Sus scrofa: one gene and its partners. The protein of the gene in region 1 interacts with the protein of each later gene in a biochemical or structural test. Links are inferred from orthologs where the notes say so. Each region holds a gene or a part of one and is shown on either strand. Other genes may lie near its edges.

Region 1 (4,151 bases):
GACAATACGTGCCGGAGAGAGGGTGTGGGGAAAAAGGAACCCTCTTACGCTGTTGGTGGGGATGTAAACTGGTGCAACCACTTGGAAAACAGGATGGAGATGCCTCAGAAAAAAACACAGAATTCCCACTGGATCCAGCAGTCCCACTCCTGGGCATCTACCCAGAGAAAACCACGACTCGCAAAGACACATGTACTCCAACGTTCCCTGCAGCACTCTTTGCAATAACCAAGACACGGACACAACCTAAATGCCCATCGACAGAGGAGTGGATCGAGAAGAGGTGGTACATACACACAGTGGAGTATTACTCAGCCATTAAAAGGAGTGAAATAATGCCATCTGTAGCAACATGGATGAACCTAGAAATTATCATGCTAAGTGAAGTAAGTGAGACCAAGAAAGACGAATATCATATGATATTACTTATAGATGTACAGCTATAAATGTAATAAAATGTATGGGGTAATTTAAAAAATAAAGATAAAATGTGGCAATCAAAACAAAAAAATACAGAAAATGAGCAGAAATCTTTAAAAAGAAATACGTGCACATGGATGTTCCCAGGGCGTCATTCACAACAGCCGAAAAGCAGAAGCCACCCAAGTGTCGGTCCCCGGCTGCAGGAGACGATGTGCCCTCTCCGTATGGGGAACGTTATTGGGCCACGAAAAAGGAATGACGTCCCAACACATCCAGGCTGCATGGATGACCCTCGAAGGCGTTGTGCTAATGGTGGAAGGCCGTCGTAAGACAGCATATTCCGTGTTTATAAGCTGTCCCAAACAGGTGACTCTTTAGAGACAGAAAGTAAGTTCGTGGCAGCGTAGGGCTGGGCGTGGGGAGGAACGAGGAGAGACGAGCGTTCTTTTTGGGGTGATGAAAATGTTCTAAAATTAGATTATGTGGTGGCTGCCCAGCTCTGTAAATATCCTAAAACTGCTGAATTGTTTACTGTAAACGGGTGAGCGGCCATGTAAATTATCTCAACAAAGCTGTTGATTCTGGGGGAGGCAGGAACGGGGCGGGCGGAGGGCTGGGAGGAAAGCGGCTATATTTACCGCAATCTACTCTCTGGGCTTCCAGCCTGGGACGACTGTTCACAAAGCAAATTTAAACAGCCAGAGGGGGCTCCTGTCCTGACTCAGTGGTAACGAACCTGACTCATATTCAAGAGGATGCAGGTTCAATCCCTGGCCTCGCTCCGTGGGTTAAGGATCCAGCGTTGCCGTGAGCTGCATTGGAGGTCACAGATGCAGCTTGGATCCTGCATTGCTGTGGCTGTGGCAGGTGCAGCTCTGGTTCAGCCCCTAGCCTGGGAACTTCCATGTGCCACTTGTGCAGCCCTAAAAAGCAAAATAAATCAATAAATAAGGCACAGATAGATAGCAAGAAGACCTGACTTAAGAGTTTGGGATGAGCAGATCCACACAAGTATGTAGAAGATAGGTGAACAGCAAGGCCCTGTTGTGTCGCACGGCGAACTATATGCCACATCCTGTGACGAACCAGACTGGAGCAGAATCTGACGAAGAAGGTGTGTGTGCGTATGAAGCTGGGCACAGAAACCAACCCAACATTGTAAATCAACTATCCTTCTGGTAAAAGAAAGCAAAGCAAAGCAAAGGGGACCAAACACAATTGGAAAGAGCCCAACCTGGACCTCTCGTCATTTGGGGACAACTGGAAAGAGCCCAACCTGGACCTCTCGTCATTTGGGGAGACGAGAGGGAGAGAGCGGCCGCCGCCCCGGCCACAGGGAAGCCGGGGCGACGGTGGGTTGGCTGGGCCAAGGGCCGCCCGAGGGAGCCCCCAGACCCACTCAGGGTCTGGAGGCCACTGAGCCACTGGACCTGCCGTGCACGCAGTGCCCACATGGCCAGATGCCAGCCCAGCCACGCTGCCAGGTTTGAACCTTCAAAAGAAGACCTGCTCGAAATTCTCCAGGGTAAACGATCCGGCCTCTTCATTCAAAAACCAGCCAGGGAACAAAATGAGACAGGGTGGGAACGTTCTAGATTCGGACGTACAACCAAAGGGACGCGTCTGGGCCCTGATGTCATCAAATCGGCGGGAACGGGCCTTGGCCAGGCAGTCGCAAGTCTGGACGCGGGCCCTGCGGTGGCGCTGAGGACTCGTGCTTTGCACACATTGTCATGGCTCCCCCCAAAAGTTGGGGGTTTGTTTTTTTTAAGGTGTTTTTGTCTTTAAGAGGTAAATACTGCGGGATTGACAAATCAAAAATGCAAGGCGTGGCTGTCTTCGCAGCCGTCCGGCCGCCCGGGGGGTGTGAAGGTGGAGGCCGGCTGCCGGCTGCCGGCTGCCAGAGAGCTAGTTAGATGCTCTGCCTTGCGTGACTCTCGGCCTCAGGATGTCACCACGGCGTCCTGGGGATGTGCCTCTGGGCCCGGGGCCCGCGAGGGCTGGGAGGCCCGGGGGTTCCTGCAGGTGTGGCCGACCTCCGGCCCTGCGGCTCTGCCCCCGAAAGCAGGCCGGGCCCCGCGGCCGCAGCCTGCAGGCCCTCGGCGGGCAGGCCCAGGAGGCCCCGGGGCGGCCCGCCACCCCTGAGCCACACGTGAGCACCGCCACCCCTGAGCCCCCCGGTGCCCGTGGCGCCCCGACCCAGCCCCGGCTCGCGCCCCCGCCTCCCCGCTACTCACGCAGCTCCTCCTGGCCCGCTCGTCACCTCCGCTGCTCCGGCCCAGGCCACTCCTTCCTCAGGACGCTTATTCTTAGCCTGAGATTTGATTAGCGCCCGGGCGGCACTTCCGGGGTTTCCCCCCAACCTGGAGGATGTAAATCAGCCCCCCCGTCCCCCCGCGCCTGCGCGCTCCGTCTCGGGAGCTGGGGGCTCACTTGGCCTGACATCCAGGAGTCCAGCTGGGTGCTGAGCCCCCAGCCTCGCTGCCCCCTGGGCCTGGTCCCCCCCACATACCCCAGGCTCAGCCAGGGCGGACCAGCTCTCGGGCCTGCAAGTGTGGCTCAGGGCCCTTCCCTCTGCCAGGTCATTGCCCCGTCATCTCCTCTTCTTCCTCCTTCAGGCTCCGCTGAGGTGTCACCTCCTCCAGGAAGCCGTCCTGACTGCCCCAGCCCGGGTTGGTGGCCGTTCTCTGCTTCTTGGGTGCTGACCTTACCCTGTCAAAGCACCCGAGAGGCTGGCACCAGAGCCAGACAGACTGGGCTTGAATCTCGGCTCAGCCTCTTACCAGCAGGAAGCCTTGGTGGGAATTTACTTAACTTTTTGTGCCTCCGTCTTCTCTCCTGTAAAGTGGGTGTGCAGGCAGGACCCGCCTCGGAGGCTGTGATGCGCATGCAGGCGGCGCACAGAGTGCACAGTCACAGGCCCAGAGCAAGTTCTTGGCACCGAGTGAGTTCTCAGGACGCGGCGTCCAGGACTAACACGTGTCCCTGTCACCCTTCAGAGCTGCATTCCTGTGCTCCCAGCGTCTGTGGGGACAGCACTGGGGGGCAACGGGTTTCGAAGTCACAGAAGGCTGTGCTGTTTGGGGAGCAGTCAGGTGGACGGAGGGAGAGATAGGGGTTCCAGGAGGAGTTGGGCCAGAGCCCGAGTGGGGGCAGGGAAGACAAAGGGCTCGGGGTGGTGACAGGGCAGGAGAGCAGACACCAGTGGCTGGAAATCCTAAAAGATGCTCCATCTCCTCGGTCATCAGGAAATGCAGTCAGACCACGACGAAAAGCCAGATTTCGTCCACCAGGTCGGCACAGTCTGGAGCCACCAGGTGCTGGAGGCGACCTGCGGAGCCGGGAGCGGCGGGGAGGGCCTTCTGCCAGGGTCGCGTGAGACATGGAACCTGCGCTTCCCCGCTCCCTGGGGACTCTCCTCCTCGGCCGCAGGTGCATGCGGATGCCCAGTGGCACGCAGGCGATGGCGAGCCCACGTGGGGCTGGGCCACGGCCGTGGTAGGAGTTCTCTGCACTGGGCAGAAGGGACAAGGCAGGCCTCTGCGCGGTGCAAAGAGACGGTGACCTCAGATGGCTGGGCGACAGCAGGTGGCGTTGGCATGGTGCTGGCAGTGAGATACCTTGCAGGGAGGCAAAGACACACAGGCCTCCCGGCCCCCTGGTTGTGGGCACATGAAGTGGTACAGAAGTCGCGGGAAGGGCAGTGCGATGACAGCAGTGCCACTGGG
Region 2 (4,146 bases), about 8.4 Mb from region 1:
ACCTTCAGGTGTAGACGGGACGGTGAGTGGCTGGGAGGAGGCCAAAATCAACAGCTCCAACCCACTGCGCTATGACCGCCAGAGCGGGCAATTTTTGGTCACCCGGGCAGGGCTGTACTACCTGTACTGTCAGGTAAGCCCCACCTGGCTCCGCGGGTGAAGCAGGAACAGGGAGAAGGGTTGCTGGGGGGGGTGGGGGGGGCAAGTTAAAAGTGGGGAAGGGGGAGGTTTGTGCTGGGAAGGATGCCGGGCCTCTTGGGAAACCTGAGACAGGGTCAAGGGCAAGCAGAGGCCTGGACTCCGCCCCCGCCCCCCCAGGTGCACTTTGATGAGGGGAAGGCCGTCTACCTGAAGCTGGACTTGCTGGTGGACGACACGCTGGCCCTGCGCTGCCTGGAGGAGTTCTCGGCCACGGCGGCGAGTTCCCTCGGGCCCCAGCTCCGTCTCTGCCAGGTGTCTGGGCTATTGCCCCTGCGGCCGGGGTCCTCCCTGCGGATCCGCACCCTCCCCTGGGCCCACCTCAAGGCTGCCCCCTTCCTCACCTACTTTGGACTCTTCCAAGTTCACTGAGGGGCCCCGGGCTCCCCAGCAGCCGCCCCACCCCGGGCTGCTCCTCCCCAGACCTGCCTCTCCCTCCGTGTAGGCTTCCCCGGGCTGGGCTCGCTCACGTGATGTCACCCAGAGAGTCCCATCGGTCCTGACAACTCCCCCCACCTCTGGCTCTCCCCCCTCACTGGCTCCCAAACCCCCATGTAGCTCCTGGCCGCAGCCCCCAGGACACTGCACTCTGGGTGACATGGGTCCCGAACAGCCGTCTTCAGGCACTAGGAAGGGCCGGAGGCCAGAGAGCCCGGGCCGGGAAGAGGCTGGGAGTTTCCGAATGTCAGAGGGAAGAGCCCGAGACGAGCCCCTCCCCTGATCATTCCCTGTGGATTTTTAAAACAGATATTATTTTTATTATTATTGTGACAAAATGTTGAGAAGTGGAGATTAAAGAGATTAAGCCACGGCCGCTCTTTTTATTGGGGCTGAGGGCGCACCCTCGGGTTAGCCGAGGGCCATGGGAAGGGGGTCCGGGCGGGGGCGGGAGGGGAGCTGGGCACAGGGCACCTCGAATTCTGGGGCGACCCCCAGGCTTGGGAGTGGGGACCTCCGTGCCTCCAAGCCCGAGGCGGGAGCAGAGGAGGCAGAGAGGCGAAAGGCAAAGTGCCAGGAAAAAAATCAGTCCTCTGCCCAAGGTCCAGCAGAGGCAGCCTCATTTACCTAGGAGGCGGGCTTCCTCCCGCGGGGAATCCCTGCGCGCAGGGCCCTTCCTCTTGGCAGCTTCGGACGTGCAGCAGGTGCTGGCACAAGCCCTGGCTGGGACGTGGGGCTCGCTCGAGCAGGCCCGCGCGGGGGCTCGGGGTCGGTCAGCGGGCCGCCGGGGGCCCAGGAATCCGGGAAGCTGCACCCCTGCGTCCAGGGGAGGAATTGTCCAGCAGCAGGGTGCTTGGGGCCAGCTCGTTCTCTCTTTGTCCAGAGCCTTATGTAAGAGCATTTCTCGGGAAACAGGAAGTCCTGCTTGCCAAGTTCAGCACAGGGAGTAGCGCAGGCCTTATTCCAACACACCCGGCCTGGCCTTAACCCCAGAACGCAGCCGGTTGCTTCTTGCTTCCGCGACCCTGGTTTTCCTCCTCACTGACCCCCTCCCCTCCTTTCCCACCTGCCGTCCCTCTTAGCAACCGCCCCGGAGATCTCGCCTGGGCCCTGGCCAGAGGGTCTTCCACGCTCACCCCCTGACCTCCACGCTGCCCAGCTTGCCCCTCCGTTCTGGCTCCTGGCACCATGCCCCACCGCCAACCAACCTTCCCTCCCCCACTTCTGGGGCCGCCCCGGGGTTCCTACGCTCTGGCCGCTCCTCCTGGGTGTCACTGGCAGCCCCGTGCTTCCTAGAGAAACTGACACTAAATTCTCCTGAGGCTGGCGGAGGGTCTCGGGACAACACTGGCCCCGCAGCAGGGTGCCAGGAGCACCAACAGTGCCCTGAGCTTGCTTTCTGCCTCCGTCCTTTTCATTCTCAAGTTCCTTTTTATTTCTCCCTTGCGTAACGCCCTTCTTCCCTTCTGCACCCCCACCCTCCCGGTCACCTCCTTGCCACCCCACTCCTGAGCCCACAGCTGTTGGCAGGGTCCCCAGCTCATGCCAGCCTCATCTCCTTCCTTGCCAGCCCCTAAAGGGCCCCTGGGAGACATGGCCCCCATCCGAGAGCCGGCTCGCTCCGTTGCCCTCTGGTTGAGTTGGGGGGCGGCTCTGGGGGCTGTGGCTTGTGCCATGGTTCTGCTGACCCAACAAACAGAGCTGCAAACCCTAAGGAGAGAGGTGACCCGGCTGCAGAGGACCGGAGGGCCCTCCGAGAAGGGGGAAGGGGATCCATGGCAGAACCTCTGGGAGCAGGTGAGTGAGGGGAGAAGGGAGAAGGGCCGCTGGGAGAGAAGGATGGCTGGCAGGGTGGTCTCCGGGCCTCTTGCAACGTTTGCAATGGGTGTGAGAGAGGGTCCCGGGTTTGGAGGTCAAGGGGACAACCGTTCCAGGAAAGGAAATTGTTAAAGATTAATGCTTCTCGTACCTAACAGATCCTGGAGGACAGCCAGCACCAAGACTCAGGTTGCTGGGGAAAGGTGCAGGAGAGATGGGAGGCCTTCCTGGGCCAGGGGGAGGGCCGGGGGAAAGGCTTTCCGGGACCCCGGCATCTTGGCCTAACCCCGACCCTCTCTGCAGGAACAGAGCCCTGGCGGCGCGGAAGCCTGGGAGAACGGGGAGAGATCCCGGAGAAGGAGAGCCGTGCTCACCCGTAAACAGAAGAGTGAGCCTCTGGGGTGCAGCAGGGGTGGGAGGTGATCAAGCGGCAAGGCGACCCCGAGCCAGCGTGAGGGTGGAGGACTGACAGCCGGGCATCGGGGGGCGGAGGTGGGCACTGCTCAGATCTCCTCCTTCTCTCCTCAGAGAAGCGCTCAGTTCTGCATCTCGTTCCCACTAACATCACCTCCAAGGGTGAGCAGTTTTCAGTAATGGTTTGGGGGGACGGGCGAGATCTAGGAACTGTGGGGCTGGTACCTGGGCCCACGACGAGAAGATGGCTGCGTGCGCCCCCAAATTCTGACTGCCACACTCCTCGCCTCCAGAGGACTCGGATGTGACAGAACTCATGTGGCAACCAGCTCTCAAGCGTGGGAGAGGTCTGGAGGCCCAAGGATACTTTGTTCGAGTCTGGGATGCTGGAGTTTATCTGCTGTACAGCCAGGTAACCCCAAACATACCCTGAGCCCCCCCAAGGGCCTGGAGTGGTGTTCCCCGGGAGTCTTGTCGTGCCCCAGGACTGGGGGGTCCCAACCGCCATTCACACCAAACTTAGGGGGCCCTTCTTCATTCCTCAGCTGCCTTGTCGGGGCTCCTGAGGCCGCCCGGAACTGAGCCACGCCATCCGGTTTTCTTCAACGTCTCCTCCCTTCCCTGCCAGGTCCTGTTTCACGATGTGACTTTCACCATGGGTCAGGTGGTATCTCGGGAGGGCCAGGGAAGGCAGGAGACTCTATTCCGATGTATTCGAAGTATGCCCTCCAACCCCGACTGGGCCTACAATAGCTGCTACAGTGCAGGTGAGAGCATCTGGGCAGTGGAGGGTGGCTCTCCCACCTGCGGGTAGAGGTGGGGATGCTATGGCACGGGCCTGGAGCCTGGCTGGAGAGGAGGATCTGAGCAGTGAAGCAGAAAAGAGGGCCGAGTCGAAGGTGGGAGCGTGAAATCGAGGGCTCTGCATGTGCTTCACTGAGCATCATGTTTCTCCCTTTCTCAGGTGTGTTCCATTTACACCAAGGGGACATTCTGAGTGTTGTGATCCCCCGGGCCAGGGCGAAACTCAGCCTCTCTCCACATGGAACCTTCCTGGGAGTTGTGAAACTGTGATTGTGTTGTAAAGGTGGTTCTGAGCTTGGAAGACCAGGGTGGGTACATTTCGGAGACAGCCAAGAGCCGAGGAGACAAAGGACAGGGAACAGGCAGGAGCAGAGGCCTGTTCAGAGTTTGACTGGAACCCCAGGTTTGACAGCTCCTGACTCTCCCTTCCTCCTCCTGCTCCCCTCCCCCCCCGGGGGGGTCTTTAAATTCATG
Region 3 (4,085 bases), on another chromosome or scaffold:
TACTAGATATTGAAGCTCATTATATTATAAAATCACTTATAATATTTTATTTATCACAGATAGATAGGATAAAAAATCAATGAAAAAAGGAATCTCAAAGTAGATTCGACTATATATGAGGAACTTAATACAGGAAGCTTCCCAACCCAAAGGAGTTAAAAAGAATCATCTAATTAATTTGGTTGAGATATTTAGCAAGAGTTTGGAAGGGAAAAGTAAAAGAAGAAAGGGGAAGTTAAGGCCAGTATGACATGACCTACCAAAATAAACTCCAAGGTTAATGGATTAAATACCAAGCTACAACACTAAATTATAAAAAAGTCAAAATGGCAGAGGAAACAATAAACTGCTTAAGAGATTATGAACAAATGTATTTTAGCTTTGATAGAGAAATCAAAAGGACAAGTGTTTCACATTAAAATACACAGATGCAAAATCTCTGCACAAGTTTTTGAAAAAACAGCAAAATGTTGTGAAAATATTTACATCAAAATTTTGATAAGTAATATGTCAAATATAGAGTTTATTCAGAATTGTTTTAAAAATATGACAGACAAGTGAGGGAAGTTATAAATAAAAATCAGCAGAAGATAAAATTAGAAGTTATCAAAATATGTGGAAAGAAGTTAATTCTTATTTGTCAGCAAGCAACAAATTAAATTTGAGGCACTGTTTTGCAACTACCAAACTAGCCCAAACACATTTTAAAGATAAAATGCTGTCAGAATGCGGAGAACTTGTACACGGAGTTTCTGACTGCACGCACTTATGATTCATTTTGAAAGCAACATGGCAACAGGTAGCAAGAGTGTTAAAGGTGTTTATCCTCTGGCTCAGACATTTCATCTATGGAATTTATGTTGAATAATATGCACATAATTCCTCAGACACAAAGAGATCTGCACAAAAATTGTGGCATGTTCTGCTATAGCCAAAAAAAAAAAAAAAAGAGTTGGAAATGATCGTATGATCACAGAATGATAACAAAGAAATTAATATAGATGAGTGAGAATTACTGAGAACTAAGGAAAATGCTTATGTAATAAGTGAACACAAAAATATGCCAAGACATATATGCTTGCAGTTTTCAACTATGTGTGTGTAAGAAAACATAGGTGATAAAATACAAAATCTGAAAACAATTGATGGGTTAAAGTATGCTAAAAATGTTTCCTAGTTTTAAAATGCTTAAACCCAATTGTTTCTGATAATTGGCTGGGAGATATGATAACCAGATAAAAATGTATGCTTTTATAATAAGGGAAGAATTTTTTCCATGAATAAGGCATTTCGTGAAAAACACGCTTACAGAAGCAGCATTGTGCGTGTGCCAGAAAAGCTAATCTGCGGGTCGCGCACTTCTCTTTAGAAGCACATAGACGGATACATAATTGCACACGGTGACTTCACCTCGCAGTCACCTTGCAGGTTAAAGGAAACAGAAGGTGTGACGATTCCCGTTCAAGTACAAGCGTGCTTGGCACATTCTAGGGGCTCAAAAACCTTCCTTCAATACAGAAGGGAAACAGTATCAAGGATTAAATTGCATGCTAAGTAAATGCAATGCAAATGCTCTTTTGCATCTTTGAAAGGAAGGAGCTAGAGCTGAATGTCTGGGGAGGCCCCACCAAATCTGAGGTTTCGGGAATCCACACAATTCTGTGGAACAGACCAGGAAGAGAGTCAGAAATCTCTAAAGAACTATTACAATAAGATTACAAACGTGTGGATCTCCTGGGAAAGCTCCGGTTAACGAAAAGCTCGAAAAGCTCTGTGTGTGTGTGTGTGTATGTGTGTGTGTGTGGAAGGAGCTCTATTCTTTTAAAAGCAAGAAACAAAATAAAGCACAGCCATGCACCTGCTCCCACCACCGACCTCCATGTGACTGCACAGCAGCTACGCTCCCCAGGAGATGCTCTTTTGCTGCCTTTCTTTGACCAGGTTCACAAAATTTCCTACATTCGCGCGTGGTGCTTTTTCTCCTGAACTGATGGAGGATGCTCCTGACATAGAAGGGAACTCTCTGCAGGGAGATGTGAGCCTCTTTCCCCACTTCTACGCTTCAACTGCCGCACAGATAAATAAATACCTGCCCCCACAAAATCCGCTCCCTGGAGCTCAGACATGCATTGTCAGCCTGGTGCTTTGCCCCCGCGCCGCTCCTGGCTGCGACGGTGAGCGTGGAAGTCTCCAGGTTCTGCGGGGCTCCCCTCTCCCAGTCCGATGCTCGCCTCCACACCTGTGAACGGGATCCCTGCCTCCTACAGGCTTCCGTGACCCCGACGTACCTGTTTCCTCCGCATCCTGCGCGGCGCGCTTACTCCTGTTGCTTTGAATGGAGCTGCTCTCCCTTGGAGCTGGTGGTGCAAAGATCCCCTGGGAAGAGAAAAGCCCCACGTTACCGCCAGCACGTGTGGGTCGTGGGGGAGCCCCGTGCCTGGGGCTGCGGCTGCCGCAGACTCACTTTCAGGGCCGGAGGGGCGGCCCTGGGGGCTGCGGCTCCCGCCTGGGGGGCGCCCGGCAGCCCCTCCGCCCGGTGCTCCCGCAGCTCCGCCCGGAGGCTCCCCAGCTCCGCTTGCAGGGAGGCCACCCGGCAGAAAGACAGCACCGTGAGGCAGCAGGACAGCAGGGCCAGCAGCAGGGTCACGACCAGCAGCTTCCCATCTTTGGAGATGCGGACAGAGGGGCTTTCCTTCTGGGGGAGGATGGGGACCGTCTCCTTCAGTTTCATTTCTTCTCTCGTGCTAAGGCAAGAAAGGCGTGACTGCTCCCCCGTGGAGTCATCCATTTCCCTCCTAGAACTTTGAAGGTTCGGGCCCTTAGAATCAGTGACCACAGAGGATGGATCATTTCCTGTTATCTGTGTTTGTTGATGTCCTGCACTGACTGCCCGGCCCAGCCCGGCGCTCGCCCTCAGGAGAGTTCTCCTGAATTTTCTCCCCTCTGCCCCGCTGCATCTCTGCCCCTACTGTACGCTAGGTCTTCCTGGCATTCGCCCTTCTATCCGATTGCTCAATCAGTCTTCCTCATTTCACTTTCAGTTTTTGTAAGAATTGCAATGGCATCACTGGGTCCTCAGGCACAAACGGGTGCCTGGCGTCTACTGATTGGAAGGAACTGGGGGTTCGGACCAGTACCCTCCAGCAGAGCTTTTCAGAGCCGGAGGTGTTTAAGGAGCTCCCTCTCAGGCACCAGGAGAGACCTGGCTTCTTCGCTTGGGGCCACTTGGCTTTACAGGGAAAGGGGGGGCAGCTTTCATAAGTTCCTGCTGGGTAATAAAAATAATTAATGCGAAGGTCAGATAAGCTAAGTGCTTCAGCGTTCAACTGTACTCAGCCAGAGAGTGATTTATTAACAGTCCTTAAGTAGGAAATAAAACGAAGCCTCCTCCAAGGAGGCATGAAAGTCCGTTGGGGAATGTTTTCCATGTTATCATCTTAGCAACTGAAGAAAAAGGATGTGCCTGAATTTGGGAGCCCTGCTGAGAGTAGACACGGGGGATTCTTTAAAGGCATTTTGAAGAAAAGCCTGCCTAATCTTCCTCCTTCTGGACCCGCTGCCCCAGAGGACGGCCAGTTCTGAGGAGCGGTCCGACCTCTGCTGTCCCCACTCCTGGGGCTGCATGTCCTGGCTCCGTCTGACCACATTTGGGGGAGATTCTGCCTTATCTCAGCTCCAGAAGCCTGGGTCTTGCCACTAACTGCTCCTCCCCTAAAGCAGCGTATCTGCTTGGCCACATGAGGTTGACTCTGTCCCCATCTCATGGGTCTGTAGGACACCCCAACTCGACCCAGAGGGACTTTAGTTTCAAATCTCTGTTGCTGGATGTGGCGTGCCTATTAGGACACCAATCCCACCTGAGATTCAGTGTTCTCATCTGTTAGATGGGGTGACAACCGGCCCTGAGAAGTTGTAAGGAGCCTTAGAGGAATGTGGAACAAGCTGCCTTTAAGACCCTCCATTTTTCACTCATTTCCATCCATTCATTCATTCATTATGTGAGATATATTTCATTCATACATTTTATGAATGAATGTGTGTTTCATTTATCCAGAACACGAACTCTTTTTCATTATTACAAACAG

What was found. The genes of interacting proteins can lie anywhere in the genome.
Region 2: the proteins of TNFRSF13B (region 1) and TNFSF13 form a complex in vitro, tested with the Homo sapiens proteins (2 studies listed by BioGRID and IntAct). The link is inferred for Sus scrofa from reciprocal best matches to the Homo sapiens genes TNFRSF13B and TNFSF13.
Region 3: the proteins of TNFRSF13B (region 1) and TNFSF13B form a complex in vitro, tested with the Homo sapiens proteins (3 studies listed by BioGRID and IntAct, with this or other methods). The link is inferred for Sus scrofa from reciprocal best matches to the Homo sapiens genes TNFRSF13B and TNFSF13B.

The regions. Positions count from the first base shown.
Region 1 is NC_010454.4:61,244,625-61,248,775, reverse strand, and holds the start of TNFRSF13B (tumor necrosis factor receptor superfamily member 13B), read right to left. Parts: upstream 2,801-4,151; 5' UTR 2,661-2,800; intron 1-2,660. UniProt on the Homo sapiens protein: Receptor for TNFSF13/APRIL and TNFSF13B/TALL1/BAFF/BLYS that binds both ligands with similar high affinity. Mediates calcineurin-dependent activation of NF-AT, as well as activation of NF-kappa-B and AP-1.
Region 2 is NC_010454.4:52,852,320-52,856,465, forward strand, and holds the start of TNFSF13 (tumor necrosis factor ligand superfamily member 13), read left to right. Parts: upstream 1-1,346; 5' UTR 1,347-1,527; exon of another isoform or gene 1,528-2,178; coding exon of another isoform or gene 2,179-2,229; coding exon 2,230-2,433; intron 2,434-2,612; coding exon 2,613-2,657; intron 2,658-2,757; coding exon 2,758-2,842; intron 2,843-2,982; coding exon 2,983-3,030; intron 3,031-3,161; coding exon 3,162-3,280; intron 3,281-3,496; coding exon 3,497-3,635; intron 3,636-3,832; coding exon 3,833-3,942; 3' UTR 3,943-4,146. Other genes in the region: TNFSF12 (tumor necrosis factor ligand superfamily member 12), read left to right, coding at 9-133, 319-570. UniProt on the Homo sapiens protein: Cytokine that binds to TNFRSF13B/TACI and to TNFRSF17/BCMA. Plays a role in the regulation of tumor cell growth. May be involved in monocyte/macrophage-mediated immunological processes.
Region 3 is NC_010453.5:75,598,461-75,602,545, reverse strand, and holds the start of TNFSF13B (tumor necrosis factor ligand superfamily member 13B), read right to left. Parts: upstream 2,801-4,085; 5' UTR 2,789-2,800; coding exon 2,609-2,788; coding exon of another isoform or gene 2,465-2,608; intron 2,377-2,464; coding exon 2,289-2,376; intron 1-2,288. UniProt on the Homo sapiens protein: Cytokine that binds to TNFRSF13B/TACI and TNFRSF17/BCMA. TNFSF13/APRIL binds to the same 2 receptors. Together, they form a 2 ligands -2 receptors pathway involved in the stimulation of B- and T-cell function and the regulation of humoral immunity.